Drosophila melanogaster: one gene and its partner. The protein of the gene in region 1 interacts with the protein of each later gene in a pairwise test. Each region holds a gene or a part of one and is shown on either strand. Other genes may lie near its edges. The genes, in order: narya and Tango11.

The links.
Region 2: the proteins of narya (region 1) and Tango11 interact in a two-hybrid assay, tested with the Drosophila melanogaster proteins (one large-scale study listed by BioGRID).

The regions. Positions count from the first base shown.
Region 1 is NC_004354.4:19,467,351-19,482,485, forward strand, and holds narya (narya), read left to right. Parts: upstream 1-7,712; 5' UTR 7,713-7,816; coding exon 7,817-8,452; 3' UTR 8,453-8,705; downstream 8,706-15,135. Other genes in the region: kek5 (kekkon 5), read left to right, coding at 957-2,200; CG32533 (uncharacterized protein), read right to left, coding at 6,832-7,415, 8,760-8,992, 9,061-9,989, 10,058-10,255, 10,318-10,688, 10,743-11,273, 11,334-11,907; mRpS14 (mitochondrial ribosomal protein S14), read right to left, coding at 12,080-12,403, 12,464-12,526; Naa15-16 (N(alpha)-acetyltransferase 15/16), read left to right, coding at 13,272-13,328, 13,668-14,156, 14,248-15,035, 15,102-15,135. UniProt on the Drosophila melanogaster protein: Required for the formation of DNA double-strand breaks (DSBs) together with nenya and vilya during the meiotic recombination process. Plays a role in DSBs processing into crossovers.
Region 2 is NT_033778.4:21,716,091-21,733,372, forward strand, and holds Tango11 (transport and golgi organization 11), read right to left. Parts: upstream 3,874-17,282; 5' UTR 3,765-3,873; intron 3,756-3,764; exon of another isoform or gene 3,594-3,755; 5' UTR 3,546-3,593; coding exon 2,991-3,545; intron 2,743-2,990; exon of another isoform or gene 2,645-2,742; coding exon of another isoform or gene 1,841-2,644; exon of another isoform or gene 1,669-1,840; coding exon of another isoform or gene 1,666-1,668; intron 1,607-1,665; coding exon 1,328-1,606; 3' UTR 690-1,327; downstream 1-689. Other genes in the region: CG30398 (uncharacterized protein), read left to right, coding at 1,841-2,644; LBR (lamin B receptor), read left to right, coding at 4,812-5,237, 5,768-7,567. UniProt on the Drosophila melanogaster protein: May play a role in mitochondrial and peroxisomal fission.

The DNA of each region.
Region 1 (15,135 bases):
GTCAAACTAAATTGGAATCGTAAATCACGCGGATTCGTGATGAATCTATTAGCTAATCTCGCAGTTCATTCGATCGTCATTCGCGCTACCCATCAGTCATCATACAATATAAATGTGATGACTTGAAACTGATTCGAAGTCTTTATGATGAGATAAGTAGCTAGAAATACTTGGCTTAGTATTATACGTTAAGTAGGCCAAAGGACTATAGTTTCCCCACGATTCCCTTTAGCAGCTTGCATATATTAAAGTAATAATCTGAATACATTTAGTACATAAATAGTATGGTCTATATTATATATTTAAAAGAATATTGAAAGAAACTGTTGAAATGTGGATTGCACCGACAGTGGGAAAGACAATTGAACGCAATTGATGAACTGAACCGAACTGGACATGGACATGGGCAGGGGCAGGGGCAGGGGCAGGACTGGAATGAGCTGAACTGGGGTGAACAGCACTCGTGTGTCACTTATGCCCAAAGTTTCTCGTCCGGATTGGCCAAACGAGCAGTGACATGTGCCAAGTGTGCTCATGTGCTCCGCTTCCACGGGCGAGGGGATTACCCAAGAATCATTATTTTTCAAAAGAAATGGCTATCAAAACTATTTGCAACGGACGCGGATGCCGGATTAAAAGCCACAGAGGGCTTTGGTGCGGCACATAACTACTGAAAATCCCTCGAATACGTCAAAGCGTAGTAGAAAAATCAAACAGAATTAATCCCGCCTTTTCTGTTCACGCAACACAGCTCCTGGGATTATGTATATTCGATCGAAATGTAATTGCATAGTGAAATGTGCCTTATTCAACAGGAGCTCCATAGAGGAGTGGGATTAAGTTGGTGACCAATAGAAGTCGAGTAGGACTTAATACAGATCTTAACTCTCGTTAATGGAATAGTCAGCCATGCAGACATTTAGTAATATGCTCCAACATCTTCTTCTCCATTCCAGTGGCCAATCACTCGCGCGACGAAGAAGCCGTCTCAGTGGCCATGTCGGATACGACGACCACGCCCCGATCTCGACACACCTACGTGGATGATGCGTATGCCAATAGCTTGCCACCGGATCTGCTGGCCTTTCCCGCTCGCGTGCCGCCCACCTCGCCCTCGATGCAATCGTCGCAGTCGAACATACCCGACCAGGTGATCTACGGCATCCGTTCGCCACCGTCGCTAACCAGTCCGGTCTACACGCATATGACGCCGCACGGCATCTACGGCACCAAGACGATGACGGCTCCGCATAACGGCTTTATGACGCTGCAGCATCCCAAGTCGCGCAACCTGGCGCTCATTGCCACCACCAACAGCAGTCGCCAGCACCAGCACCACCATCAGCTGCAGCAGCAGCAGCAGCACCACCACCACCACCAGCAGCAACAACAACAGCAGCAGCAGCAGCAACATCCGCTGGCCACCACATCGCCCTTCCTGCCCGCACCCGTCGTCTATTCGCCGGCCACGGGTGTGGTCATGAAACAGGGATATATGACCATTCCGCGCAAGCCGCGCGCTCCCAGCTGGGCGCCCAGTACTTCCGGTGCCGCTGGCCACGGATCCATTCAGCTAAGTGAATTCCAGAGCCCCACATCGCCGAATCCCAGCGAGACTGGCACCGCCACCACCGCGGAACTGCAGGCGGAGCCAGTGTACGACAACTTGGGATTGCGAACCACTGCCGGCGGCAACTCCACCCTCAATCTGACCAAGATCGCCGGCTCACAGGGGGGCGCTGGTCAGCAGTACTCGATGCGGGACCGACCACTTCCGGCCACGCCCAGCCTGACATCGGTGTCCTCGGCGACCAATGCCAGTAAGATTTACGAGCCCATACACGAGCTGATTCAGCAGCAACAGCAGTTGCAACAACAACAACAGCAGCAGCAGCAGCGACTGGGCTCCATGGACACGGAACCCCTGTACGGAGTTCGGCAACAGGGGATCACGATACTGCCCGGCTCGAGCATTAGCGGTGCCGGACTGGGCCACGCCGCCTACCTTTCACCCGGCTCGGGTGCCGCCGTATCGCCAAGCCACGCCAGCAGCAGCGGTGACTCTCCGAAGGCCGCCAAGATCCCACCACGCCCACCACCGAAGCCCAAGAAGAAGATGTCCGTGACGACGACGCGCAGCGGCCAGGGCAGCACCAGCCAGCTCTTCGACGACGAGGGCGAGGATGGCACCGAGGTCTAGTTTGGCACCCACGGCGATCTCCGCCATCGCCGGCAGCTGGCGATGTGATGCAATGTAGCGATGCAATGCATGCGATGGAATGGAATGGAATAGAATATGATGGGATGGGATGCATTGTGATGTCGTTGCCGACAGCGAGCAGCAGCAGATGCGGATCCAGTTGGATGATGAGGAATGGGGAATCCATGGCGGGCTGAAGCTGATGCTGATAACTTTATTGCGCGTATGGGATGTGGGATGCAGCCCCCCAGTCGACAACAGAATACAACATCAACATCAACATCAACATGAACGTCAACACATCCCCTGTTGCGGCTTGTAAAAATAGCCGGCGGAAGGATTCTGTTCCGTGGTTCACGCCACTGCGTGACTTGTGTGCCAAACGACTGATGTAGGTTTTAGTAATTAAATCGATGAACATGCAACACACCAGTTCTTCTTCTGGTCTGGAAAATGCGACGGGAAATATGTAATCTTCGGCGAGTTGGATGAAAAAAGAAAAAAAAAAAAAAAACAAATAGACAGACATACAAATCCGTATAGGGCGATAAAGTCGCTTTTAGGAGCATCAAATCCCAAATTCGTATAGGCGGATATACGTAAAACCCAATTTTAAAACCACCTTTTTTTGTGTAGACTATAGCTAGTTCGGTACAAAATGCATTATTCGTATATAGAGAGACATATATATATATATATATACACCAACGCATACATACACACACACACAGAATTTTAAACTTATATGAACCCTAGAAGAACAAGTATCCTATTATGAACAAGTATACATAAAGAACTTTCAAATCAACGACAGTTTATTCAAGCGCAATGAAGAGGAATAAAACACTCACTTTTTTTCCAAATTTTTTAAAATTGTACATGTAAAGGCATACAGTTAATCGCATTAGGCTACATACATATATAGTACATAGATACATATATATAAATATATATATATATATGCATATATATATATATTAATGATATATACTTATATTAGCGTAAGCAACCACTTGCATCCTTAATTTTTTTTTTTTAGTTTACGAAAGCCACCACGCGATTCGGGAATTAAACTACATGAAAGTATATTTATAGCGGGTAAGTTTGTTAAGTGCGTTTAGCGGTAGGATAAAGAGTTTGCATTTCGCAATTAAAACAATGAATTGAAACTTCTATGTATACATATAGTCTAGAGGAGGACGCGCAGCTATAATTACGATTGTACTAGTTATAAAGATATATTAAATAAATTGTATGTACATGGACTCACGTATGACATTCTAGGACTAAATATACACCCAATCTCCCATTACCGCTGAGAAGAAACGAAGATTTATAGGCAAAAAAACAAAAAAAACACTCCCTCAAATTACCCTCAGCCGACTCGTTTATTAGCCAAACTAAGCATCCAAATCAGCAGCAATCATTCGCAATACATCAGTACGAATATACCCACAAAGTGTCGTTGAGTCCAATGGGTAACATTGAATGCCAGCTACTAGCTAGCTACTAGTTGAGTCCAGTCCAGACCATTCTTTGCCATGCTGTACGATATTTCCCCCAATCACTCTGCATTTTCTTATCATTATTTATAACAATTTTACACTATATACAATTAGTTTCCTGCAGCGCACTGGCGATCTCCATGCAGATGCGTTTTTATTTAATAAAAATGCACTCTCAGGCTCTGCCAAACTAATTTATTTTTGAGCTTGTGGGGAAGGGAGGAGCAGGTGGAAATAGAGAACGACACTCTAAATAAAAATTAAAAAAGGGCAGGCCTGAAAAAGATCCGAGAGTTAAGAGCCAGTGCTTTCAATAGGTATACATATATATATATATATATATAGAGACGTGTAAAGTACAGCCCCAACCTTGCCCCTAGAAAATCGTTACTTGATGCGGATTTACTAGGCGAATCAACGAAACTACGAGTGTAAACATCCGACCCATACTTGGTTTTAAATAAGCAAAAGTATTACGTAAATCATAAGTTACCTTACATTTTTTATCGTGCTCGTTTTTTATTTTTTTTTTTGTGTGTATTTACAAAGTAATTATTTGTAGAGTTTGCTTTCGAATTTGGACAAACGCAACATGATTGTAATAAATATCTCAGAAATTCAAAGCTCTTATATGCAGGCATTTTGAAAAACCAGAAACAGAAACAAATATAAATACAGCAAAAAAAAAAAAAAAATATTGTAACGTTGCGAACAATTTGTTCAAATTAGCTCAAAATCAAAACAATTATAATTATAAATTGTAATCTAACTGTAATTGATAGAAGGGTTCTTATATATACGTTTTTTTTTATAATTTTGCATAATTTGCCTAACATATAAAATATTAAAATAAACTATGAATAAAAGGAATCCAACCAACCAGGTGTTTGTTATTTACTCGAACTGGGACTTCCTTTTTAGCCACAACAACCAAACAACTATTTTCTGCAGTGTACAAATGTCGACAGCTGTTCGCCTAATCGAAGCACTTCGATTCATGATAGAAAATTTAAAAAGTTAATGCCCGCCAGGGTGCTGTCGCCCTTTTTTTTTCAATATTACGCAACATAAAACTTATATTGAAATCAACTTTTAAACAAGCCAGTGTCTGTGTGTGCGAGTTTGTGTGTTTTTTTTTACGATGATGTTTTTATTATTTGATCAACGCACTGTTACCCATGCGGCAACTTAATTTGATCTGCTTAAATTATTTTATTTTACAATGTGTCTTGGTTACTTAAGACTAACAGATTTTTAATCCTAAAAATGTTAGGGAGAATTATAATAGTTGATATAACATAGTAATTATTATTTATTTGATTATTCTAATGAATTTTAAAACTAAGACTTTCTAGGTCAAAACCAGGTTAGGGAGGTCATGAGGGTGGTGTCGCTTGAGTCTTCTTTTGGCTCTAGTCCGAGGGTCAGCATTGACCACAGCTGCAGTTCCTAGCTTCCTTGCTAGGCTGTTGGGGTGTACATTAAGCCTTTCCATATATTTTTGGGCGATGTTCTGGAGCTTGTCTCCTAATTTGGGCACCTTGAGGTCGCGTTCGATGTCTCTTGTTCTCATATACCAAGGAGCCCCCGAAATTCTTCTTAAGGTCTTCGCCTGTAAGATCCGGATCTTAGTGCGAGTTTGTGTGTAAAAGGACAGCATGCTGCACACGCCCGAAAGCATGCAACACTTTTTTGTAAGACATCACAAAATGTTGCCGAAAAGTTTTTTATTCTTCCATTTACTTGTATCGGCAAAGAGCATGCTGTTTTTCAGCTGAAATGTGCAGCACGAATGTATATAATTGACCAGCATTAACGGGAATGTCGCTGTAGCCATGTTACACGGAAAATCTAGGTCTCCGGAACAAGCAAGTATCCTTCGCCAAGTGAACGAGGACTTCTGGGACACCACGCCAACTAGAGCATTGTCTACTGTTTTCCGAGGCATTTAATGGATATTTATTTGAAAATCACAACGCATTTCAAAGCATTTGATTGCTTGCGTTGTCCCACTTAAGTAGGCAATGCATTATGTAACGAATCAGCCGAGGGTATCCCATAAAACATAACTAGATATTTATTGAAAAAGAAACAAAAAAAAACGCAACACATTTTAGTAGATTTTCGCATTGGATTGTTTGTGCTTAGTGCTTGGCCCATTTACATACGTACACAATACAATTTGTAACATGTTAGCAATGGGTATCCCGCAGTCGGGACACACGCCGTCCATCCTACTTTTTTTCTTGCGAAAAAGCGGACAAGCAAGCTGAGCACAAAACTCGACAGTAGCAACAATGTAGTTGCAAAGAAGTAGACAGTCGGGCGAGGCAGAAGGAGCTGCTGCCCTGCCGAGGAAGCGCACAACTATATCTGAAAATTGGACAGCTTGACAGGCAAAGACCTTTTCATAAACAAGCGTAGCTTCTGTGTCCCGAGATTAGGACAACACAGCACGGTCGAAAGGAGCGCCGCATTAAGGTGCAGATCCAATACAAATCTCTAAATCCCTTTTTGTCATCATCCTAAGCTAAAAACTATTTTGTAAGCTACAAAATTGTGCGAGATAAAAACTAAATCCTTGTGAGGAATTCACCCAGCTCTGTTGTCAGTGGCAAATTGAAAGCTGGACACTTGACAATTTTACATATTGCAATATTCAGTTAAAATAAGCAGCGCAGCTTGAGCAACGACGACCTATTGTGTAGCTGGCTAACTAACAGGCATACGTAGTTATCAAATCCCATATTTCGTATCCGATAATTTATTCTATAAATTCATTCTTTCAACAATTTGATTAAAATGGAAATTTCCCGGCGGCTTCAATGCCAATTGAACGGGGCATAATTGATTTTAATTAAAAATTCCATTGTTTTGGCCCAAAAACGAAATATTTTTGGTGGGAAATCCGAATACAGATTTCCGCCCAACATTTTTCAGTGCGTTTTTTTTTTTTCATTGTAACATGGCTGAAGGGTCCCTCAATTAAAGAAAGCAAATGTTTTTCATAACATTTTTGTTGATTTCCAAAGGGGACAGGCCAAAAGTTAATTTGTTTAGCAATTTTTCAATATGTTAAATTAAATATGTTTTTTTTTTTATAATTAAATACGTTTATTCAGACGATTACTTGTTATTTCGACACTGCTTTTTGTGGCGCAGAATGTCGATCGTTGTCAGTCGCAACTCCCTCTTGCAGGAGTTGCAGTAATAGCCGCCGGAGGAGTGCGAACTGGAGCTACTGGCTACCTCCGTTGAGGACTCTGTGCTCGTTGTTTTCGCCGTGCGGCTTTCCTGCGCCTTGCGACGCTTGCATTTGGATCGGTGCACCAGCTGCTCCAGCACATCGAACTCCTCCAGCTCGAAATCGCAGCGCGTACACTGCCATGGCTCTGCCCGTAGAGTCGCATCCATGGCCGTCGTCCACTGCTGTTCGGCCAAGCAGCTGTACACCACGTGCTCCGATACGTTGAGGCCGCCCTTTTCCTCGTTCGGTGTCATGGGAAAGTCGACGGCAAAGGGGTTCTCCTTGAGCTCCGCGAGTCGCGCGGAAGGTGCCTGATGAGTGTAGAGCCTCTTGATGTCGGCGGGAAGCAGTCGGCGTATCGCATACGCCACATCCAGCGCCATATAGTCCACAAGATCTTGCCACAGCGCGCTGCTCCTATCGTCACTTGAATGGGAAGGTGATTCCTGTTTGCTTTTGAGGTCTGCAAATTGGACAGCATTAAGTACATACGTATTAGATAACTAAGCTCCATTTACTAAGAATGCCAAGAACAACAAGCATTTTCTATAACTGAACAGTTCAAATATCGACAATTGTATATGTAAATACCTAAAAAAAAAAACGTTTTTAAGCATATGTCGTTCCCATCATTTGATTGTTACAATAATAACTGCTTTAAAATATTATGGTGAAAAATCTTTGAACCTGAATACACCACTTGCAGGAAAGGTGTGGTGAACAGATTGCAAGGCGAGAGTGTTCTCACCCGGCAGAGTGGCCAGACCGCTGAGGTAAGATCCGTTAGCCCCATTCGGATATCTAAATCACAATTGTTTAAGAAGAAAACTTGCAAGGCGAGGAAAAAAACATATATTGGTCACTATGTTTCGAGTGCATTGCAACAAGTGTTTCCGTCATCGCAAAACTGATCCAGCCGTGCCCTTCCACTTGACCCAGTGCCGGCACGTGATCTGCGGCCCCTGTTTGGGCCAATCCTCGCTAGAAAAGAACTGCCCGCTATGCGGCCAGGTGCTCAAAGCGATCCAGATCAACCGGGATATGCCAACTAGCGTGGCCAACTACTTCGCGGATCCCCTGCGATTCCAGCAGATCTACCGCAAGATCTCCAAGTTCCAAGCGGACCAGCGAGCATCGGACAACCTGGGTTTCTACCGTCAGTTGCAGCAGCTGGAGCAAAACAAGCGCCAGCTGGAGGGCTTTTGCAAGATGGAGGCGCAGCTGAACCAGAAGGTCGTGGAGGAAAAGAAGCGAATCGCTGAATTGCGCACCTACATCGCTTACCACGAGAATGCGCAGAGGATGACGAGGCGCCGGCACAGTGCAGGTGAGAGATTCCATACGCCGGAGTTCAAGGAGGCCTGGAACACCTCTATCAGCACTTCGGACAAATCGCCGTCGGATATGCCTTCTGATAGCTCCCGCCGGTCCGCGGACTTGGATACCCAGTCAACGCGGAGAAGATCTTTTGGCAGCGACACTAAAGGCTTTCGTCTTTAGTCACTCCAATTACTTGTATAATTTTTTATAGGAATTCTAAGACTATAACCACTTCTAACGATTCAATTAGGTTTTGACCTTCCAGAAGATTCCCAATATAAAGAACCAGATAGATTATTAAGTTGCGCTTAAGGTACTAATTATCATCCGTATTCTATTACTATTACTATTCAAATCGAGACGTTCCACTACTCATGTGCGGGATATGATAACCATAAACGGAAATATAACAATCTACTTTAGCTTACAAAACTCAAAAATCCCCCTAGTAGTTTTAATAATTCCAACCAATCTGGGGAGCACTCACCATCCAGCTTGTCGTAAAGCAGTCTGCTCCAACGTCGGCGCAACTCGATGGCCCGTCTTAAAAGCTCCATACCGCTGCCGGGCATGGGCAGATCCAGTCCCAGCCAGCCGTCGCAGGCGATCTGTGTGATGCCCGCGTTCGTGTCAATGGCGAAGCTGAAGAGCAATAGCGTCTGGGCAGCCGGCAGGCGGATGCAGTTAATCAGATAGGGCTTGGCGGTCTCCAGCAGCGACCTGTTGTAGTACGTAGTTTTTTGGGGATTAGTATGGCGCTGCAATTTCGTACAGACGCACGCACTCACTGGTAACAGAGCAACTGGTGGCGCTTGCTGAGCGGAAGCTTGGGCGTGTAGAAGTCTGGCTTGGGCAGCAGATCGCTTTCGGTCAGCTTAAGCAGCTCGAAGTGCTTGGCGAATTGCGAGTTTGGGTGCTGCAGCACGAAGGGCTTGAGCCGCGTGTGGAAGAACTGCTGACCACCACCCTTGCAGTAGTTGAACTCGTCGCTGATGGCCAGCTGTGGATAGAAACCGCTGCCGAGCAGCAGCTTTAGCAGCACAACGACGCTGTGTCGGTCGAGCCGCGACGAACGCTCCAGCAGCGCCAACTGTCGAGGATCGAACCGCAGCCGGAAGTCCACGTCCCTCATATCGTCGCCCTGCGCCTCCTCCTGCTCCTCCTCGTCCTCCGCTACCCGTCCAGCGCTCTGCTTGAGCAACTTGCGCTGACGGGGTTGCTCAAATCGCTGGCGGCGCTTCATGGCTTTCAGCTGGCGCAGCTCACCATGTCGCGTTGCGCGCTCGGCACTGGTCAACTGGGAGTCCGAATCGCTGGCCACCACCATGCCGCAGCTCTCGAGGATGCGCTGGAACTGTTGACGCAGCTTGGTCACCTCATAGAAGCGCTGCTCCTCGATGCCCAAGCGACGGCACCACTGTCGAGTGCCATCGCGCCGCATCTTCAGCTGCACCCACACGTTGTAGAGTCGCACCAGGGTGAAGAGGTCGCCATGATCGGACTCCAGAGACTCCCGCTCGCGCACGCAGCGCTGGTCTGTGTGGGCACGATTCGTCAGCGGGTTCTGCACGCTCAGCATGGCGGCCAGGGTCAGCAGCTGCTCCACCTCGGGAAACACGCTGCCCATAAGCAGCATCTTGCCGATGGACAGCTCTACGGGCAAGTTGGCCAGCGATCTGCCCAGCGGTGTGATCTTTTCCTCCACGCTGAGGGCGCACTGCAATTAGAGATTAGAAGTCCGGTTGAATTGGGGTCTACACAGTTGGGTATCGGTGAAATGCTCACGTGTTGCTTTAGCGCCAGAATAGTCTGCTCGATGCGCTCCGTTTCCGGGGCCTCTATGAATGGAAAGGCCCGGACGTCGGGCAATCCCATGGACACCATCTGCAGCAGCATCGTGTCGAGCGGCACGCGGTAAATTTCCGGAGTGGGATATGCCTCGAAGGCGTTGTATTGCTCCGCAGTGTAGAGCCGAAAACAGACCTGCGCTCGGAAAGTGGGAATGTATGAGAAATGGAGCAACCGTGGGTTAGGTTCTAGCTTACACCTGGTCCCGTGCGACCAGCACGACCCTTGCGCTGATCCGCAGACGACTTGGACACCCAGAACTCTTTCAGACGCTGGCCCTTGCAGGTTGCGTCGAAGTTCATCTCCTTGACCTTGCCAGAGTCGACCACGAACCGCACGCCGTCCACGGTGAGCGACGTTTCGGCTATGTTGGTGGACACAATGCACTTGCGCATGCCCTCGGGTGCGTAGTCAAACACCTTGCTCTGGTCCGCGATCGCCTGGCCACTGTGCAGCGGCAGGACGAGCCAATGAGTCTGTTCGGTGGCATACTCGTGAACGGCCTCCACAACAGATTCGATTTCGTTTACGCCGCTAACGAAGATAAGGACGTCACCGCGCTCGCTGGCTAGGTAAGATGATTATTAGGCGATCCCTACAAGAACATGATAACTAAACTCACTCGGATACTGCTGGTCAATAAGGCTAAGCACCTGGACAAATGGAGCTGGATCGATGCGGTTTCTCTGAGAGCGTTTGGATGTCGCCTGTCCCGCCTTTAGTTCCAGTGCAGGAGGCGGCAGATAGCGCAGTTTGATGGGAAATAAACGTCCCGGCACCTGGACCAGCCGTGCGCCCTCCTCGCCGAAGTAGCCGTGGAAGAGCTCCACGTTGATGGTGGCAGACATGAGTATCAGCTTCAGTTGCGGCCGCGCCCTCAGTAAGCACTTGGTAACACCCAGTAGAAAGTCACCGAATAAGTTGCGCTCGTGGATTTCGTCCAAAATCAGGGCATCGTACTGGTCTAGGTTGGCGGCCACCGCTAGTTGCCGCAGCAACAAGCCCTCCGTAATGAAAAGGATGTTGGTGAGCTTCGTCCGACTGCGCTCGAATCGGATCTGGAATGCCACCCGACTGCCGTAGTCGTCCAGCAGCTCGTGCGCAACGCGCTTGCACAGGGAGACGCAGGCCAAACGGCGCGGCTGGGTGCAAGCTAGGGCAACAAAAGGTCGATCATTGGTAAGGCAGCCTCAATGGGAAGCCGCATACTCACCAATGCTGCGGTAGCCAAAGTCATAGAGATACTGGGGCACCTGTGTGGACTTGCCGCAGCCAGTGTCACCGGCCACGATGACCACGCGGGACGTGTCCAGTGCCTCGCGCAAGTCCTTCCGGAAGCGAGCAATGGGTAGATTGCGTTGTGTCTGCCGCAGCTTTCGGATACGCTGGAACTTTTCCGTCTGGCGGAAGTCTAAGTACACCAGCAAGATATGACGAAACTGGGACTGCATTTGGTCGCGCGCCTCCTGAAGCAGTTCGTCAGCGTCCAGCCGCAATGCCAAGTGCTTGCTGCGGTGATACGGCTGCATGCTGCTCAGCTCCGCCTCCGCGAGTCGAGGCGGCAGCACGGGCTGGCCCGTGGAGCGCATCATAGCCTCGTACTTGCCCACGAACTTCCAGAAGTCAGCCTCGTTCTCCACCAGACTCCTGCCTACCTGGCGGCTCTTGGCCTGCAGCAGGCCCACGAGCTCCGCCTTGTGATCCAAGAAACTGAACTCGATCAGATTGATCTGAGTCCTGCGGCGGCTGGAGGCATGTTCATCTGCCTTCTTCTTTATCCGAGACATTTTCACCGAAGCAAAATAGTTCCTAAAATTTGTATTTACTTCTTCCCACAGCAAACGATAACACTGCTACCGATAAACGGTCAGCTGTGCAAGAACCCAAGCCGATAACACAATTCTGGAATGTGGATGACTACTAACAAGGTTTATTTCCCTAGATTGCTAACAGAAGATGCTACCACATGGCGCGCTGGACGCCGGACAGCTTATTGTAGTCGGCGAGGTGGCGCCACACGATTCGACTGAGCCTGTACTTGTGGACAACTCCGCGCGGACGTGACGTAAGCGCGCAGCGTTCCCTCACCCGGACGAGCGATGAGTCCCGAGGAAAAGCAGCGATCTCGGCGTCGGCTACCTCGCGTAGCTCCGGCGGCAGGATGTCGTTCTTGCGCAGCGAGTTGACTCGCAGCCGCTCCACGGCGTTCTCCTTGACGCACTTGCGCCGCTTTACGTCGCGAATCATCTTCCAATCGGCATACTTTGTGCGCACCTGCTGCAGCTGTTAAGACAATGGGCTGGATATTATGTTCGCTTAGCTAGGAGTACGATGTTAACTTACCCCGCAGCCGGCTATTTGCACGGACTGGCACACAAAACCCCCGATCCTGGCCAGAGAATTCATGTTGTTGCTTTCGGTGGTGCTCTTCTTCTTTTTGCCTCTTTACTTTGTTCGCTATAGTGTCGGTTATTAACGCGCGGGACTATCGATAGGCAACAGCTGATGAGCCCATACAGTGAATTGCAAATTTATTGCCTATTATTTTCGTATACGAGAACTGGGTAATTTAAATGAAAAATACGATGGCGAAGCATGCGGTGTGGAATCTATAAGGTTAAAACATGGAAAGCCGGCTGACTTTCGACCTCTCGGAATAAGTTTTAATTAACAATTCACTCGCTTTACATAACCGCCTAGCAGCGCGATTCAAAACGAGCGCGTTCACACCCATTCGCAGTGGCGTACAATTGCTGTTACCATTCGCCGCGAAGCGCGTGAACACGTGTGCCAGTGTGCGTGCGCCAGTGCGTGCATGTGCACAGTCGAGCTTGCCAGTGTGGGTGTGTGTGGTCGTCTCACGTCGATTTAGAAATTTGCTCGTGCCCGCAGTTTGCCGTTCGCCGTTTTCGCCTTGTGTGTGTGGTGTGTCTACTCCGTATAGACTGCCAATCGAGTCCAGCTCCGCTTCCGAGCAGCAGCAGAAGAGGCATCGCAACTCAGCTCAGCTCGCTGATCCACAGATCCCGCAGTCCGGTGCAATTCACGGCCAGGCGAAAACCCAGTCCCAGTCAGCAGCTGAGGAAGAACAAGAACGACCAAGCAGAAGAAGCAGCAGGCCGAAGAGAGGAGCAGCCGCAGCCTTGCAGAGATGCCTTCTAGCGATCCCCTGCCGCCCAAGGAGGGCGCGCTCTTCCGCAAGCTACTTGTAAGCCGGTCTAGGTGACCCTACTGTCCCATACCTTCCCCTTCCCTTAATACCACAACTGTGCCGCCCCCTCCCTTTGTTCGTGCCTTTGGCCGGCTTCGGCATCCATGTGCTTTTTAGCCGAAGTCAGGTGGAGAGTGCCTATTTTTGGCAGAAGCAATCCGGAGGCGATGCCTCCGCTGCTCGAGATGTGTGGCTTCAGCGGGCGATTGCACAGCTCTGCTCAACCGCCGACGTTTGTGGTCGGCCCGCTGGTCTCATAACCTCAAAATTCGCGCTGCGCGGGATGCGAGAAACTTTGACTAAAACCTTTCTTCTCTGTGCTTTCTTATCAAACAGAAATGCTACGAACTGAAGCAGTACAAAAATGGCCTTAAACTGGCCAAGCAGATCCTGTCCAACCCCAAGTACATGGAGCACGGCGAGACGCTGGCCATGAAGGGGCTTACTCTGAACGGACTGGGGCGCCGCGAGGAGGCCTACAAGTATGTGCGTCTGGGTCTGCGAAACGACCTGCGCTCCCACGTTTGCTGGCACGTCTACGGACTGCTCCAGCGCAGCGACAAGAAGTACGATGAGGCCATCAAGTGCTACCGCAACGCGCTCAAGTGGGAGAAGGATAACCTGCAGATCCTGAAGGACCTGTCGCTTCTCCAGATCCAAATGCGCGACCTCGAGGGCTACAAGGAGACGCGCCACCACCTGTTCACGCTGCGTCCCTCGCAGCACGCCTCCTGGATCGGTTTCGCCATGAGCTACCATCTGCTGGGTGACTACGACATGGCCAACAGCATCCTGGAGACGTTCAGCCAGTCGCAAACGTCGATTGTATGTATCCAGCTGCCTGCCGATTCAATTTTATATTCCAATTCAATAAAATGCTCGTATTTCTTGTTCCATGTCTCTGCTCCGTGGGCAGGAGGCGCACGATTATCGGCACTCGGAGCTGCTGCTCTACCAGAACCAGATACTCATCGAGTCGAATCGTCTGCAGCAGGCCGTGGACCACCTGACCAAATACCAGGGCCAGATCGTCGACAAGCTGGCCGTTCGCGAGACCATGGGTGATCTGTACATCAAGCTGCAGCAGCAGGAGAAGGCAGTGCCCATCTTTGAGTCTCTGATCCGCCGCAATCCGGAGAATGTGCTCTACTACGAGCAGTACATTGCCGCCCGCCAGGTGACCGACTCAAGCGCCGTGGTGTCGATCTATCGCGTGTTCCAGGAGCAGTATCCGCGCGCCCTGTGCCCTCGCCGCCTGCCTTTGAACATCGCCAACGGCGACGAGTTTCGCGTCGTGACCGACGAGTACCTGCGCCGCGGTCTGCGTAAGGGCATTCCGCCGCTATTTGTCAACGTGCGCACTCTGCACCAGATACCGGAGAGGGCGGCCGTTATCGAGGAGCTGGCGCTGCAGTATTTCGAGAACCTTACCCGTTCCGGCCACTTTTCTCGCGAAGATGCCGACGCCGGAATTCCCGTCGAGCCGGCCTCGGCGCTGGTGTGGACGGCACTGTTTCTGGCGCAGCACTACGACTACATGCGCGATACGGACCGCGCTCTGGAGTACATCAATGTGGCTATCGACCATACGCCAACACTCATTGAGCTGCTTATCACCAAGGGTCGCATCTTTAAGCATGCTGGCGATCCCGTGGAGGCGTACGTCTGGCTGGAGGAGGCCCAAAGCATGGACACGGCAGATCGGTGAGTGAGCCCCATGGACTAGCATAGACCTGCTGAACCATGTAACCATCAATGTTTTCCCCTCAGCTACATCAATTCGAAGTGCGCGAAGTACATGCTG
Region 2 (17,282 bases), on another chromosome or scaffold:
ACGCGAGAGAACAAAAATACGCGATAATAAGGAAAATTGTATTTATACACACGAGTTTTTAAGTTTATAGTAGTCGTTTATTTTATAATGCCCATATACAAAGAAGAGGACAACCGGCAGGAAAGGAGAAGAAATAAGATTAGCAGGATGTGCGTTGAGGTGTTTTTTTTTTCGATCCTGCGGCGTTTCGCCTGGAAAGGCGAGTCGTTCGGAAAATGAAAGAGAAAAGTAGTCCCCTTGCATATTATTTGTGTAAAGTAAACGATAATTCCATTATAAATAAAAAGATACAAACAATTGCATCTTGTTCTCTAAGTAGTTGGATGATAGCGATTGATCGAAGATCGGGTGGCAAAAGGGAAAGAAACAATCCACTTCACAGACAAAATACACGAAAAACAATACACACACCGCAAATGAATCGAACGAAATTTCGCTCAGGTCTTTTCGTCATTTTGCATTAAACTTAATGTTTAACGTCTTGTTAGCTAAAGATGTATAGCAGAAGAGGAAGTCGGAAGTTAGATGAGACAAGCAGATGTAATTGCATTTAATCGGTAGTTTTAATTGATTACTATACGTACTATTTAAAGAGAAAACCAACAAATTAAAATAAATACATTTTTTAAATGCGTTGAAAACCGAAATCTACTTATTTCCTGGTAGAAAATTAACGAAGCATATGGTTTGTTTTGGTACTTTAAACGTTTTATTTTAAATATCGTTATGAATTCATGCTACACTCTAAATGGATTTCCTTCGTTTCCGCTAGTTATGCAAAAATCAATGCAATGATTTCTGTGGGATTTAGTGTATAATATTATATTTATGTATATATTTAACTATTTATCGTATGGGATTTCGCATACAAATACCATTAAAGTTCTTGTTTTCACTTTGGGATTATCAAATGTTAACAGATCTAAAATATAAACAACCCTTTTAAACAATATCTTTTCAATGCAATGCTGCTGTGATGATTCGGATTCGTGTTGGGGGCTGCTCAGATGAAACACGTAGAGATTAAAGCTTAGATTTAGATACACGCTCCTTAAGTGCCAGATCTTACAAATTAAGTATGGGGGCCTTTGTTTTTTTCGTTTTCCACGGTGTACAAAACAGAACGATGTTGCGCTTATTTATTACGGAGCTTAGTCTACAAAATTATGGCAAACAAAAAACAAAGTCTCTCTCAGAGCCTTTCCACAAAAGAAACACAAAAGTCAAGAAACGAAAGAAGCTGTTCCAAAAAGGGTGTCCATAGCAAGGTGGTTGTCTTGGCACCCAGCGCAGATCGCTAACCATCATAGTGGGCTCTACATTGCGTCTAGTTGCGATTCAGCCAGAATATTGTCTTGAGAACGAAGTAGGCCAGGCCCAGACAGTAGACGATCTTCTCCCGCTGCGTGCGCTGTTCATTGTTGATCTCGATGTTCAGCACCCGGCGATTCAGCTTGGCCAGCTGGCGTCTCAGATACAGGATCTCCTCGTGGGGCGTCAGCTCGCCCATGGGCGTGCCCTCTCGGTGCGCCAGCATTGAGGCATCCAGGTTGTTGTGCTGCTGTTGATTCAGCTGCGAGCGCTTGCTGGCACTGCCTGTGGTCAACTGGAACACATAAGGTAGTCAAAGATAAGTTGCGCCAAATAGGATTTAGATGTGTGTACCATGTTAAGTGTTTGCTTTGTGAAAGTTTTCTGTTATCAATGTGAAGCAAGAGTCATTTTTCAGAGCTCCCCCAAATATTTCCGGTGTCAATATAAGCAATAAACATTCGAAAAAAAAAAAAACGCCCAACTCGAAATTTTCTGTATAGCCAACCAATTTCTTTCGATCCCAGCAATGACAACCAGTCCCAACGTAGCAGAAGTGGATGATGGCGAGCTGCCGAAACTGGAGGCGATAATCAGCGCGCTGAAATGCGAGCAGACGGGTCACATTATGGAGGCGATACTACTCTACGAGGAGAGCATCTTCAAATTGTCCCAGATGGCCGATGCGGAGCCGAGTCGCCGCCAGCTGTGTGGGAAGTATTTGAAGATGTACGAGGCGCGGGCCAAACAGCTGAGGGATCAGGTCAAGGGTCACTTGCACACCAGCCGTATGCTGGATCACATCACCATCGAGCAGGGTGCCAGGGGCAGAAGCTACCAGCGGCTGTTTGGTCCGTATTTGGACGATGCGGTTCGGGAGGCCCATCTCAACGAGCCACACCTCACGGAGCCACCACACTTTAGGAATTTGCTTAACTTTTTCGAGGTGCTGGTCAAGAACTGTCGCTATCTAAAGTATATTCGCCTCACTACGCGCCCAGATGCGACGGCGCCCAAGAATCAGTTGCAGATGCTGCAGCAAATGCAGAGCGATCTGGCCGGTGGCAACATCCAGATGAATTTCCAGATGGACGACAGTTTGCACGATCGCAAGATCGTTCTTAGCTCGGGAGTGGTCATTAAGATTGGCCGTGGCCTTCACTACTTCGAGCCCATGGAGGGTTCGTACAGTTTGGGTCTGTGCGATTTCGATTTTCGCAAGTGCCTGGCCACCGAGGTGGACATCTGGAAGTGTCGTCCTTTTGCGAGGCGCCTTAAGGATACACAGGAGGGCGAGGATCGACCGGAGGCACACGGCTACTCCAGCGATTAACAAAAAGTGAGAGTGTGTTTCCACACAGTCGATGGAAATTGGGTCAGCCGTCTTATCAAAGCCGTATTAGGAATTCAATAAAAACCAGCAGGCATGGTAATCTCTTTGCAAACTGAATGGGTGGCAAGCGCAGTGTGATCGCTATCTATCTATTATCTATTAACAATTTTGGTTGTTTTATTGCGTCATGTGTGGATCGCTAGGGTCTAGACTTCCATCAAATGAAGTGCTCTTTAACAGAAATCACAGAGTTGCTCATTCTGCCCATCGATTTAATTTACAAGCACTTGCAATTGAATTGAAAAACTAAAGGAAAATTGTTGCTTGTATGGCATATTTTACTCACCTGCGAGTCCGATTCAACGGAATTGGTGTCATTGCCTTGAAATCCCATACGGGCGACTCCATTGGCACGCACATATTGGGTGGCATGGACCTCCTCATCGTCGGCGTCCTCGTCGAGATCATTACCATACAAATGATGACCATTGGCCCGGATGGGCGAGCTCTCCTCGGAGGCCGAGGGAAAGTGTTGATCGGTGAGGGTGATAATGCGCGGTGGCGTCTGGACGCGCACCAATCCGACCGATGGGTTCTTGGGCAGAATGGAGTTCTCCAGCTGGATTTCCCGCGGAGCAGATCGCGTCTCCAGATGCTGATTGTGGCCCAGGACCACAATTCGATCCGGTACATTCATGTCGATCTTGTCGTGATAGTTCCAGGAGCTGATCATCCCGTTCTGGTTGGACAGCAGCAGATCCTCGTTGGAATACTCCCCGGTGGCCTTTATTCTTTTGGGAACCCGCATCTTGTCGTTAATCTCGTGGGCATATTTGGCGTCGCTGTAGAGATCATCGTCCAATCCATTGAACATGGGCGTCGGCGATTGCGGGGTCACCATGGCGATGTCCTGGGGAATCCTTTCAACTGATCCAATGGGCCTCACTTGCTTTTGGTTTTTCGTTGTTTGTCCAATTTTTTTTTTTTAGGTAGAAGGCGGCCGTGAGAGAGACGTTTTCATAACAAATTAATAACCAGAATTTGGCAAGCGCAACATTTTCGTCCGGCTTGTGTGCGTGTGTTTGTTGCGTATTGGGTTTTTCGAATGCTTTCTACTTACATTGCTCGGGAAATGACAGAAAAATGTCCGAGAAATCCGTAATAATTTACAATTTTTCTCCTGCCTTTTGTTATGTGTGTGAGGAGATTGATATAGAATGTGCTAAATAATACCAGGAATGACAGTCACTCTACTTCCACTCTACAGATCCGGCACTCTAGCTCCTTTTTAGCCAAATTAATTATCTACCTCAATATCAGTAGAAAACTAGGTATTTAAGAAGTTATTTCAGTTGTTTTGATTCATTTTATTAATATGTTTTTGTTTCTTGAAAAGTTTGCGGTATTCTTCTGTCTTGAACAAATAATTTACAACTCGATTTAAGCGACAACTTTGGTCTTTATAACCTACATATGTAAATAAAATGAGTACTGTTAGTCTTTGCAAAGATCAAATACTCCAAAAAGTTTTCTATCGATTTATAATACTTGCGCATTGGTATGGTTCGATTAATGTTTAAGGGAATGTAAAAATAAGTACAAGTACTTTTAATACTTTAAAATAATTAACCTTGAATACATTTTAAATTGTCTTAAAGTGCCCACTAAACCACTGTTAACGACACGCTGCGTGCTGTTAGGCGCCGTTCGGCGTTAGCCAACACTGAAAAATACCAACGCAGTGGGCCGCGCTCATTTTACAACAAAATTTTCTCATCCGCCGACAACTAGACGCGCGTCTTTTTTATCAAGTGATTTATGCTGAATTTACGGCGTTTCAATAGCCCCATAAAGTGAAAAACTACAAATAAATCCCATCAGAAGTGAGTTACTAAGTTGTGAAGCGTTAAAAGCTGTTTAAGCTAAGTTAAACATCGTTTAAAAACTGCCAGCCAAGAGGAAGAGAGCAAGAGAGAGAGCGCGTTCTGCCAGCGTCGCTGCCTGCGGAATGTACAGTTGCGGCAGCGACGTCGCTTTTCCTTTCGGCGCGCAAACACAAATAAATACAGAAAATTAGAGAAATAAAGAAAGCAAAGAAACTAGAGAAAACCACAGCGTTACTTAAGTACATTAATAGATTGTGTGTATTTTGTAAACTATAAATAACATGCAGCACTCGCCGAGCACAACGACTGATCATATCCATTTTGCAGCACGTTTTTTCGACCGCAATTCATACACCATGGATCGACGCCTGAGACGCCCGCGTCGCACGGAAGACGTGTCCAGCGGTCCACTTCTGGCCCAGTCCAAGCAGCCCAGCCTCCTGCCGGTGACCCGACGTACGGGCTCCGTGACAGCTGCGGGTGCCACCGCCACCGCCACCGCCACCGCTGGTCCCGCCACCCGGACACGTGCCTCCCCGTCACGCAACAAGGTCGTCGCACCGCCCTCGCCCGATCTTGGCCCGCGCACCCGTCGCTCCAGCCGGCCGAGGTCGTCGGTGGGTCCGCTGACCGGATCGGGATCTGGTTCCTCGCTGCCCATCAAGGCCGCCATCAAGGCACGCACACCCATCCCAGAGGTTTCCGAGGTGAGTTCTCCAGCACAAACCAGTTTTGCTGGCCGGTGGATAAGTGCTTAGCTATATTTGATCAGTATTCCAACCATCAGCAGTTTAGAATTTTGAAATCAATTGCTTTCAATATAAAAGCATAGCGAAATATTAGTTCTATTTAATTTCGATCGTTACAACCAATTAAACTACATAATTAACTGTAACTGTCCTACCTTTATTACAAATTTCGAGCTTCTGTTTCTGTGTGTTTTATGAAGCTGATAAGCAGCACCCACCGCCCTGCTTATCAGCTTAGAGTTCTGCCCTCATATGCTACCATAAGGAAATTCCGGGCTAAGATAACGGATTTGTAATTGTTGAGCTAAACTGCTGATTACAAAAATAGAGGGGAATCTGATAAGTGTACTCAAAACACCTTTAACCCAGTTTTGAGTACCCACATATTTTTGTACAATCATGTCCCTTTGTATATTCTTCTAAGGTTATATAGTTTCTGACTTTGTTTTATCACTTATTACATCTTTACTTATGATCTTAAATTACAGGTATCATCGCCTATTCGTTTGTCAACCAGCAATCTGCCCATGACATTGACCACCAACACATCCAGCGGCGCACCGAACAAAGCATTTAACACAAGCTCCGTGAACAGCGGCAACAGCTTCAGCCGTACCACTACCAGCAGCACCACCACAACCACGGAGCGCATCGAGATCCGTGCCGAGGGAGACGGCGAGGTGGACACGGATTCCATTCGCAAACGCATAACCGAACGACTGCGCAGATCGGTGTCGAAGACAATCTCAAATCTAGCTGGAACACCAGTGACAAACACCGAAGAGGGCAGTCGTTATAGTAGGAGTGTGTCCCGATCCGTCTACGACGATGAGAAGTCCTCCAAGCGTAGTTACTCTACGGGTGAAGAGGATATTGATGAGGAGGATGAATTGGAGGAGGATCAGTTCCGTAGTTTCAATGTAACCCGTAAATCGGCCACACCGGCGGAAATATCCTGCCGTCAGTTGAAGGCTCCTAGAGAATTTGGCGGTTGGCTAGGCGCCTTCCTGTTCCTGCTACTTCTGCCCACCGCCGTCTACTATTTGACATGGAGCTGTACGGCCAGAAACGCCTGTCAGTTTAAGCACCTCAATCTGGGTATACTACTGGATGTTAACTACCTAACGCGCCAGGTGTTCCAGCCACGAGTGGTGGGTGCCTTTGCCGCCTATCAGGTGGTGGTATTTCTGCTGGTGGCACTGCTACCAGGACGAAGGGTTCATCTCACCCGCGAGACCTACAAGTTTAATTGTCTAGCAGTTTCGCTTACGCTTTTGATTGCCAGTGGAGTGGCCGAGTATCTGAAGTATCCAGTGGTCACCTTCGTTCTGCGTCACTATCTGCGTTTCTGCATCTTTGGACTCGTTGGCGCCTTTGTGGCAGCTGCTTGGAGCTACTGGCTGGTGGACACCGCCAAGTACAATGTGCTGCGCCAAACGCTGACCAATGATTATGGCAGGACTGGCAGCTTTGTGGTGGACTTCGCGCTGGGCAGACAGCTCAATCCCAAGTGGCTAGGACGCGTGGATTGGAAACAGTTTCAGTACCGTCTCTCCCTGGTGACCACCTTGATCTATGCCACCTGCTACATCTACCAGACGCTCGTGTGGCCCCAGAAGCCGCAGCTGGGTGAACAGGAGGGCTATCTCTACCAGGCCAAATACTACTGGAACAATGTAAATTATGATCCTGCCACCCTGTTCTCGGCCAGCTGCTTGCTGTTCTACGTATTGGACGCCATTATTTTCGAGCACCACTTGAGCTCATCCTTTGAGCTGCAACACGAAGGCTACGGCTGTTTGCTGCTCCTGCGCTACGCAGCCACTCCATATCTGCTGACGGCGGTCACCAAGTATTTCTACGAGCAGCGTGTACCCATCTCCTGCTGGTATGCTCCGCTGGCAGTGGCTGCTCTGCTGTCTCTGGGATTGCTGGTCAAGCGATTCAGTTGCGCCTACAAGTACAAATACCGATTGAACTCGCAAAGTCCGATCTTCGCCAACATCGAAACTATTCACACGTATCAGGGAAGCCGTCTGCTGCTCAGCGGAATGTGGGGATGGGTACGCCAGCCCAACTATCTAGGCGACATCGTGGCCCTGCTGGCCCTGGCTGCTCCCATGGCCCTGCGTCCGGCCTGGCCACCAGTTCTGGGTCTTAGTCTGATCATCCTGCTCCTGCTCCATCGCGCCACCCGAGCGAACGCCCGGAATCAGGCGCGCTATCACTCCTCCTGGCAGCGCTACAGCACCCAGGTGCGCAGCTACATCCTGCCCAGGGTCTACTAAGCCGGGAGTTGACCCTTCTATTTTCTGTGGCCATTCTTATTTTTATTTTGATTTCAGTTTGTTTTTATTTTATGTTTCGAATTTGTATATATAATACGTATTCATAATTCATATTGTTCTAGACCACCAATACAGCCCCCCCCCCCCCTTCAGCCCATTACTTTTAGTAACAAAATTTGATTTTACACTCGCCGACACACGCACATTAAACAAAATGAATTTTCACACACATAATTATAGTTAAAAAACCCATCTAGCTGTACGAACTTATGCGCTTAAGATCTAGACATCTTATATAATCAATACTTGTAATCTATGTGGTATGCATATAGATAGTACTTTTTACATTTAAATATGAAATAAAAAAAAAACATAGTTTCTATGCTATGAAGAAACGCACAAGGACAGCTGTTTATTATGTATGTTTCCATCAAGTCAGTTAGTTGATTCCTGATAAGCTCCATAAATCGATTTTCACTTAGCACTTGCCAGACTTTAAGGTCACTCCAAGTGGATTTCAAGTTGAATCAAAATACAAATTATGAGCGGCCAGCAAACTGCGGCCGATGATGATGATGATGATGATGAATGTCAGTCAGCGAATAAAAGAAGTAATTTTGTGTAAAAATACCCGCTCCATCCAGCGAACACCCACCACCTACCGCTGTTCCGCTTTTCCGGACGGAGCGCATAAAGTTCTTGGCTGTGGGCGTGGCACGCAGCCTTTACAACTGTTAATGACATTTACGAATGTTTGCGAGCCACCGAAACTTGGTGGACCTCATCCGTTTCGCCATTCCATTTGCCACCCCACACACATAATGCCAAAATAATGACGAAGTCTGGGCTTGCACCTCCAAAAGACCTGCTCGCAATACACTGGAAAAAACATAGTATATTTATTATAGAATTGTTTGTTTTAAAAACAAATAAATTATAATTGAAGTTTATTATCTCTAATAATATATTAAAATTTATGCACAACAGTATGTGTGATTATGTTATATTACAAATTTATTTCAGTGCACAATGCCATAGAAAAATGACGCGGAAACTGTCAGAAAAGAAAGCAAATGGCGGGTGAAAAAATCATGGAAAGCGGCTAGGAAAACCTCGACGTCGACATTTGCGGTTTGCTATACAAATGACCGACCGCCGCCGACTGCCCCGCCCACTTGACGAAAATTATACAATAATGGCGTCAACATTAGCAAATTGTGCGCTTGTCGCAGTTCCCATTTCGGACATTTTGCCCATTTTGGCCATTTTCACAACTCCACCCACCGCATTTCGTCCTTCGTCCTTTAATGAGCGTTTAAATTGGCGGATCCTGGCATTTGGCTTAAATTTTTGATTGATTGCCCAGGTTTTTTCGGCTTTGTGGGCAATGTGCATAAATAAATTAATCCAACCAGGCGGTAATTGTACAAAATAATATAGTAGAAATGATTTTGAAGAAAAGAAAATATGTGTAAAATTTGTATTAAAATATTAAAAACTATTTATGAAAACTACTACTAATTCAGTTAACATGAAAAATATCATACCTATAATATTTAGCTGTGCTATTATTGCTATTATTTTATATTCGTTATTAAGAAAAAGCTAGCAACATTTTGAATGGAAAATAGGTAAGAAGTATTAGCCAGAAAAACTAGTTTCCGCGGTAAAATAAAATAAAAACTAAATGAAAACTTGGCTGTAGCATAAATCACGCCTTTTGTCAGAATCAGATAACGTTTGGCATAAATTTAGTTTTAATTGACTTAATGCTTGTACTTTTATCAAATAATTAATTACAGAGCAAAGTGTGGGCAACACCCAGCCAGATGGACAAGATACTCTGGGATCAGGTAACACCTTGGCGGGGTCAGAGAAGGAAGAAGGAACTGACTGCTCCTGTAGTCGAGGCGTCTCCATATAAATTCCACTTTTAATAGTGCAACTAACTTGGCAGTGGGCGTCTGCAGTCAGGTCGATGGAGTTTGTTTGTCAACCAGTTTGCTGTTCGTTTTTGTTTGGCGTGGGCGGTTTTGCCCCCTTTGCCATTCAATTATCTAGTTTTCTATAAATTTTCTTGGCTGCTGGCTGCAGTTCAGTGCATTTTGTTGGTTTGTAATTGGCCCATGTCAACAAGTAAGATCGATATCGCTGCCACACAATTTCAGTTCTGACATTTTCGCTTTTGTCGTTGGCCAAGCAATAAAATTGTTATTGATTGTAATTAGGTTTGTAATGGGGTTATTTATGTGTGCCAGTCAGTCGTTGTTTATGTAGTGCAGTGTAAGTGCTCACTGCGGGCAAAAGTCGTGATTGATTGATGGCCAGAAAGTAATTGCTTGAAAATCGAAAGCAACTTTTAGCGGCAATTTAAATCAATTTTCTGCAGGCACTCAACTGCAGGCCTCTCAGGCAAATGCTCTTTATATGTAATATAATTGTTATCTTTAAATTCCGAAAACATTTCTTTCAAATTGCAGTGAATTGGAATTAGAAACCTTCTTGGAAACCCTATATTTCTTGGAATTTCTATCTGACCCACAGGCTCATAATTAATTCAAAGACTGAGCCAAGTATCACTGACCAGGACCTTTCAGGACAACTTGGGCAGGGACCTTGAAAAAGCCTCTTGACAAGTTCGTTGGACCAACAAAGAGGGACACTGGGAAAATAAGACTGGCACGCGTAATGCCCATCCTTTTGTTCGCCAGTGTCACATCCATCTTCATCAGTCCAAAGTTTGCATTTAAATTGGTAATTAACACAAAATAAAAGCGAAAGCGGCAAGAAAAAGTGCCAGGCGAAATAATCACAAATACAATGGAACAAAGGACCCAAAAACAAGTTGACATTGAGAAGTGAAAACAGTGGAAAGCGGAAATAATCAACTAGCCGAATGATAAGAAGTGTGTGCCACCGGAAGTGAAAGAGGCCATGGGGCAGAAAGTCGGCTCAAAGTGCGAAATTGGCTAACAATTGGCTTGAGGAAATCATGTGCACTGTTCAATTTTCATACGTTAAGAATAATCTTAAAATTTATGGTTATTTAAAAATCATATACTAATACAAAGTCGTTACTGTTTTAAAAGAAATGGAATTACTGTAAAATTCGAACACGAACTGTTTTGCTTTTTCAAAATTCTATATCGCAACCATTTTTATTGTTAAATAAAAAAATTAACGATTTGAAAAAATCGTTTTAATTTAAATAAAATTTGAAATCCAGCTGAAAAAGCTCAGTGAACCTAATAATTTCGTTGCTTTTGCTAACTGCATTGACTGCTTTCTGTTTCACTTTATCATTTTATTAAATCGAAAAAGAAATGAGAGAAGGAAAAAGGAAGAAAGGACACTATAGTCTTGTCCCTCGACTATCAGATACCCTTCACTCAGAAGAATGAGGGACATTCGGCCGTAGGAGACCACGATTTAGGGGAACTAGGCAACTTTGAGTCTCTCGACTAAGGGATATAACAATGAAATATAAAATGGGGAGATAGTGGCAGCACGCCGAGACTCACGTCCTTCAATCGAAGGATGCCAATTGAATGTAAATAAGAAAGTGACAGCCAAAAATGGCGGGAATGAATGGGGAAATTCATTCGACAGAGGAAGAAAACTCGTTGGGAGTAAGCCAAATCGTGTTGAGCAGGTCATCAAGGACAATCGCCAAACTGACGACTTAGTTGACAAAATTGCGAATAAAGCCATCGGACAGGTGACAAGCAATTTATTAGCCATCAATTGAAGTCGATGGAGAGATTGAATTAGAAAAAAGGCCGAAATCAGAATGAAAATGAAAACGGAATTTAAGATGTGGCAAAAGATTAGTATATTTCTTTTTTGTTAAGTTGAATGTTTTTAATCAGTCGAATCAATCTACTTAAACCAGTCCACAGGGAAAATAATGATCAACCACAGGCATCATCTGCTATCTAAATGAAGTTCCAAAACGAATTTTAATCAACAGGCCACAAGCAAAAATCGAATTCGGCTGCAAATTAAGTTTGTATCTCCTTCTCGACGAAAAGCCAATTGCTGGAGGTCCGGCAACAACAATTAGTGCAATTTCTTGGCCAGGACGAAGCAGGACGAAAAACGGACAGCCATTACCTGCTCGACTTGGCCATAAACGTGAGCCCGAAAAAAAAAATGGGATGGGTGGTGAAAAGAATATGCCCAGGCAAAACAAACTTAATTGTCTGCACAGTTTTATTTACTCCTCCGACGGACAGCGCAGGACAGGATAGTACTAACCATGTCCTTGCCACAGACAGATCCTGCTGGGGGAAACCACGATTGGAAGATGGGCCTGCGTCTGCTTGTAATTACTGTGCTACGAGTCCTGCGAGTCCTTCGCCTGCTGCACCCACTTAACGAACATGGCCAAGACTGGCCAAACAATAGGCCTCCACTGCTGTCTCTGAGCTCCGAGGTGCACTCAGAGAAATACTAGTATATCATATTGGTAGATATGGAAGATAGATTTAAATTAAATAGATCTAATCTAGATACTTATTCGTAAAGTATGAAGGTGAATGAAAATACTCTAAAGTGAAGGATTATTTTTGATATGCCTTCTAAGATTTCTTTCAGTGCATCACCATGCACGGCTCGTTGCCCGGATAAGTGATGCAAATCCCGCCCCTCGCTCCCCTGGTTTTGGCCTTGTTTAATGCTAACACAATAAACTTGACCGAAAGCCTGTTGTCGATGCAGCTGGAGCACAGAGTTGAGTTGAGTCGCCGTAGAAGCTGTGAGAATCCGGAAGGTGGAGCTGCTGTAGCTGGATGATCCCCCTCCATACATATATGTACATATGTATGGTTGGCCAGGCACTGGGTACAAGTCTGCGGCCATGTAGTATGTGTTGCTATCGCATTTGCATCCGACCTTCCGCCCCGTCCCTTCTGCTGCCAATAACTCAATCAGTGGCGCACTGCAGTTGCTCCGGACCATTCATCATCGCCAGACAAAATATTAATCGCTCCTGCCCTTGCACTTACACGTGGCCAAATTGGATTCGAACGCGATTATGTCACACGGAGCGAGGCAAGGTTACAATTTATAATTGTCAAGCGGATGGAAGATATGCGGATGCAGCGATACATGGACTACATGGCCCAGACAAATGGTATATGGTGCGGTCCACTATCCCCGGTGATTTATGTGGCCAGGAAATTGACTTGTGATATATGATTCTTAATGCAGCGAGGACCTTGAAAAGATGCCGCAAAATCAATGAGTGCATTTGGCTTAAAGCAGCGGGGGTAGTGGAAAAATTGTGAAACTAGAGAGGTGCATGATCTCAAAAGTGGGGTAAAATGTAACAGTTCATATTTAATTTATTACTTTAAAGTACTTAAGCATATACAAACATCAATTAAAGCCATGCCAATGCAGTTTTTAAATCAATATTGGCATTGACCAGACATTAAGTTCAATCTGCAAACTGCGACGCACAGAAAAAATAAAAGCCTGAAAGGCGAAAGCCGATTGACCCAAGGAACCTCTTGATTCGAGGTCCTGCGGCTGAAAGGATTCGAGGTAAAAGGGTTTCGAGAGCAGAAATTGAAATTAAAGCGGGGCAAAAGTCAAGGCTTAGTGGGTTAGCGTTTCAATTATGACATTGCCATATCTAATCCGGGCTTTAATTAAGACCAGATGACTTTAACAACAGGAACAGTGGAGGCGGGCATTAAGAAGCCTTTGAGCCAACTTACCTTTTTAATGAGGCAAAAAGTTGATGCCACATAACGATGTCATAATGGCCATTGTGTGGGCAACGAGCAGCCAGCCAGGACAGCACGACGGCAGGAGCAGCAGAAGCAATGTGGATGTGGAGCAGCGGTTTTAGCGCCTGGAGCTCTTCACAATGGCCAAGACCGCCGCGGTCCGAAGGCTTTATTGTGTTTTTAATTAGAAAAACTATTGCATCTCACCACCGGCTCCTGCCACAATTGGTGGGATCGAATTTAAGGCAGGAACATGGCCGCAAACACCAAAGCCCACAGAATGCAACAATATCTCGGCTTGCAAACTATGCCTTAGTTTAGCATAATATTTTCCCACTAGCCAAAAAGTGTTGAATATCGGCCCGGGGCAGCGTAGCAGCTAAAATGTACGAAAAAAATATTCGAAGAAAAACAAGCTAGCTGCCCATAGAGCCGCAAAAATGCTGCCTGCAAAAGGAGTCGCAACCGAAAAAAGTATGCAACACTTGGCCAACGGAGCCATCGGAGCACAACAAAGGCGCTTACCAGGTGTTGGTGCATGCCAGGCGAGGATGGGGTGGCGACCGGGGGGTCCTGGACATAGCCACAAACTTTGGCAAGGACTCCTACTTGGTACACATGCACTGGAAGAATAATAAGGTTCTGAACTCGCATTGGTTGCTAACGTCTCACTTTTGGGGGGTTCATTTCCATCTAAGATGATAGAGTTAATAAAATAGTTATAATTTTTTCCAGTGCAAAATCCAAAAGGCAAGAGAAAAACTCCGAGTCCCGGGCTCGGGGAGCCATATGCGAAATTGTTTTATAGCTGGCCGGGAACGGTCAGTGCGGAGCGTTGAGTTTGTTTATGGCCACAGCCAGGCTGGCCCACAACGGATGTTGCCTTTAACTTGTATATCCTTTACTTTAGACCGTCCAGTCCTTGTGCGGATGCCTCTCGCTCTACTCCGGCTATCTGGCAGGACGCAGGACGAAGCACGGGGCAAGTTCCTGGGCATTCGGTTTCACGTTGAAGCGTTTAACAAAGCGCCGTAAATTGCATCAGGCGTGCAACCACAAGCTTTCCCCTCGTTCTGGTATTTTATTCGGCTTTTCGTTGAGTTGAGTTTCTTTAGCCAAGTTTTGGAGCCCTATGCCCTATGCGGTACAGGTTAACTTTTATTGCCTCGAAAAAAACAATTTAAGCTTTGGGTTTTAGGGATAGTAGGCTTTTAGCATGGCCGAAAATTAGATTATTGGCTTGCGGTGAATGCTGCTCAATGCTCATGGAATCGAAGCTAATGGCATGCGGTTCGGCTTCTCCAGCAGACGACAACTGCAATTTATGAAGCTCGAGTCGCAGCTGAAATGCAAATTCAATCAGCTCCCTTGGCAGACTGCAATTAAAACATTTGCTGAATTTTCATTTGGCCCTCAGGGCGACCCACCCAATATCCTACAATTATGAGTTGGGTTGCAATCAAAGACCCAGCTTACGCGTACGATTGCCATGTTGCCAATGTTTATTGAAGTCCGCGAATGGCCAAACAAATGGCAGGGAGCCACAACCCGCCCTGCCACGCCCATTTGGGGATCAGGCGAGAGAGTGTCCAAACTTCCGCGACGGTGGCAAGTGCAGCAAGGCGTCGTTTTTTTAATAGAGTCATAACTTGCTGCCAACTAATGGGCTTGCAACCAAAACACGCTGCACTGCAACAAAATTCGAGAGGGAAATGTATAGAGTTTCCACATTTTATCATTATCTATCACGATTCCTTCTGACATTCCTTTTGAATCTAAAGTAAAATTCTTATCATATATAACTTGTAATCGTCCCTGCAATATGTTGTTAAATAAAACAAGCAATCATATATTGGATACGATTTTTCTTCCAGTGCACTTCGAGCAGCCCTTGGTTAGCCATAGCATAGTGCCCCTCGAGTTTTAATCCCCCGTTTTTTTAGCCTTCATGCTGCTCGGTGGTGACTCTACTTTGGTTACAATTCAATTTGCAATGGTCGCTTTTTCTTGGCCATTTTGGCCGTTTTTTTTTCGGTCCTTCAGTTGCGTTGGGCGCTTTAAAAATTTGTTTCCGTACCTGGACAGTGTCGTAAATGTGTGGAAATTGTTTGGTGCTATGCCTCGTAGGTATGTATGACTGCCAGTTGAGCAACGGGCGGTCGCTCCTTCGTTATAGCCAACTTCATCCCCATCTCCATTCCCATCTTCATCTTCTGGTGGAGTGTGTGGCATTTGGCCAACAAATCTCTCGCTTTCCCTGGCGGCGCTCGCTGTCGTTTTATTGTCTTGGCATAATGTTGACGTTCTAGACTTGGTCTAGATGTTGGTGGCGTTGGGGCTCCTTTCGTGGATGGTGGGTTCTTGGGGCCTGGTTGGCCATGTGGTCCTCATAATTGTCTTGCGCAAATGGTCGTGTAAAATTTTAATTGCTTTTTAGTGCAAACTCTTGGAAAATTTGTAGTTTCCAAGGAGCAAGGAGCGCAGGATTGCGGCTAAAGCTGGAGTACACCACTTACCCGATTTTGTATGCATGTGAAGGGTCAACTTTTGTGGGCTGATTAGGAAATGTTTATGACAAAGGTGTTTTGCTCTTGGGTATAATGGTTCCGTTTCGGTACTCAAAAGGTTCAGGAAGTGCTTAGTACGGAACGAGGATTTAGTTAAGGGCTTAATCCGTTAATTGTGTGCTCCAACATGTTAAGAGGAGATTGAAGGGAAGAAAGAAAAATAATACTTTTCTGACTAATATATGCCATTGCGAGCGTGAACAAATCTTTGCATACGCTTTCAGAAGATGTCAGCAGTGATTTTAGACTTTTGGAGCACACACACAAATATTATTTTTAGAGCTCTGAGTAAAGCACCAAAACGCTTTGAACCACAAAGAAGGTAATGGAAAATGCTGAATCTCAAGTTCTCGAGCTGTAGCTGGATAACCAAACAGAAGCAACAGCCACACATCTTAACCGAAATCAGCAGACAACTCATTAAAATCCAAAGTAATTTTCCACACCATATCACCGTGCATGACACATATATCAAAAATTTATGTGCGAAACGTCAGAAAGTTTGAACACGGCCACCATAAAAACAATTTGAATACATTTTTGATTACATTTATGGAGGCGAATGCTGTAAGGAAACCAAGTCAAGCTGAAAACAACTTTCGAACAACACTTGACATGGAAATTTTTGGGTGCGTATGCTCCAGCTTCCCGCTTTTCTATGCAAAAACATGCAGGATCCCAGGAGCCCCAAACCCAAGCCCCAAGTCCTGTGACAAGGGAAAGTGATATGGTATGTGTTTGGGAGTCCAAATATTTGTTCTTTTTCTTGGCTACGCGAAACTAAACCAAACTGAACCGAAATTTACAATTTCATAACTTTAAGTGTCCCTCATCATTTTCATATATATATAAATGGTTTTTTTTCTTTTCCGGTTTCTATTTTTTACCCAGATAGTGAGCGTTTTCTAGCTTTCTGGCCATTCGGCTCGTTAGCATTTTTCCGGTTATCTCTTGCCAGATTTATAGAGCTCATTGCCCCAATGGCTGCGGCCCGTCATTTACGGTCACAATTTTTGACATTCATTGGCCTTTTTCCTCCGCTCCTCGGGCTCCTTCGCCATTTTTTTTTTTTGCGGATAGGACACGACACCCAAACTTATATAGAAATGAGCGCATGAAGCGTGAAATTAAATTTGATAAATTCTATTTACGTATAGAGATGGAAGATTTGTGGCTGGACACCAGGGGGGGGGGGGGGCGGAATGGGGAGCACAGGACAGTTATTAGGGTAGCTGGTCCTAGGTCAATAATTTAAGTGTATCGAATGGGTTTTTTAACGCTCGGTTGTGCAGTGTAAGCGTGATTAGGGGGAGAAATAAAAAAGCTAAGGTTGGGGCTATGTCAAATTTTAGAGATTTTCCTATCGTTCCTTGAAACTTAAAGCTTGGGCTTTAATTCTTCGCCCTGCAATTG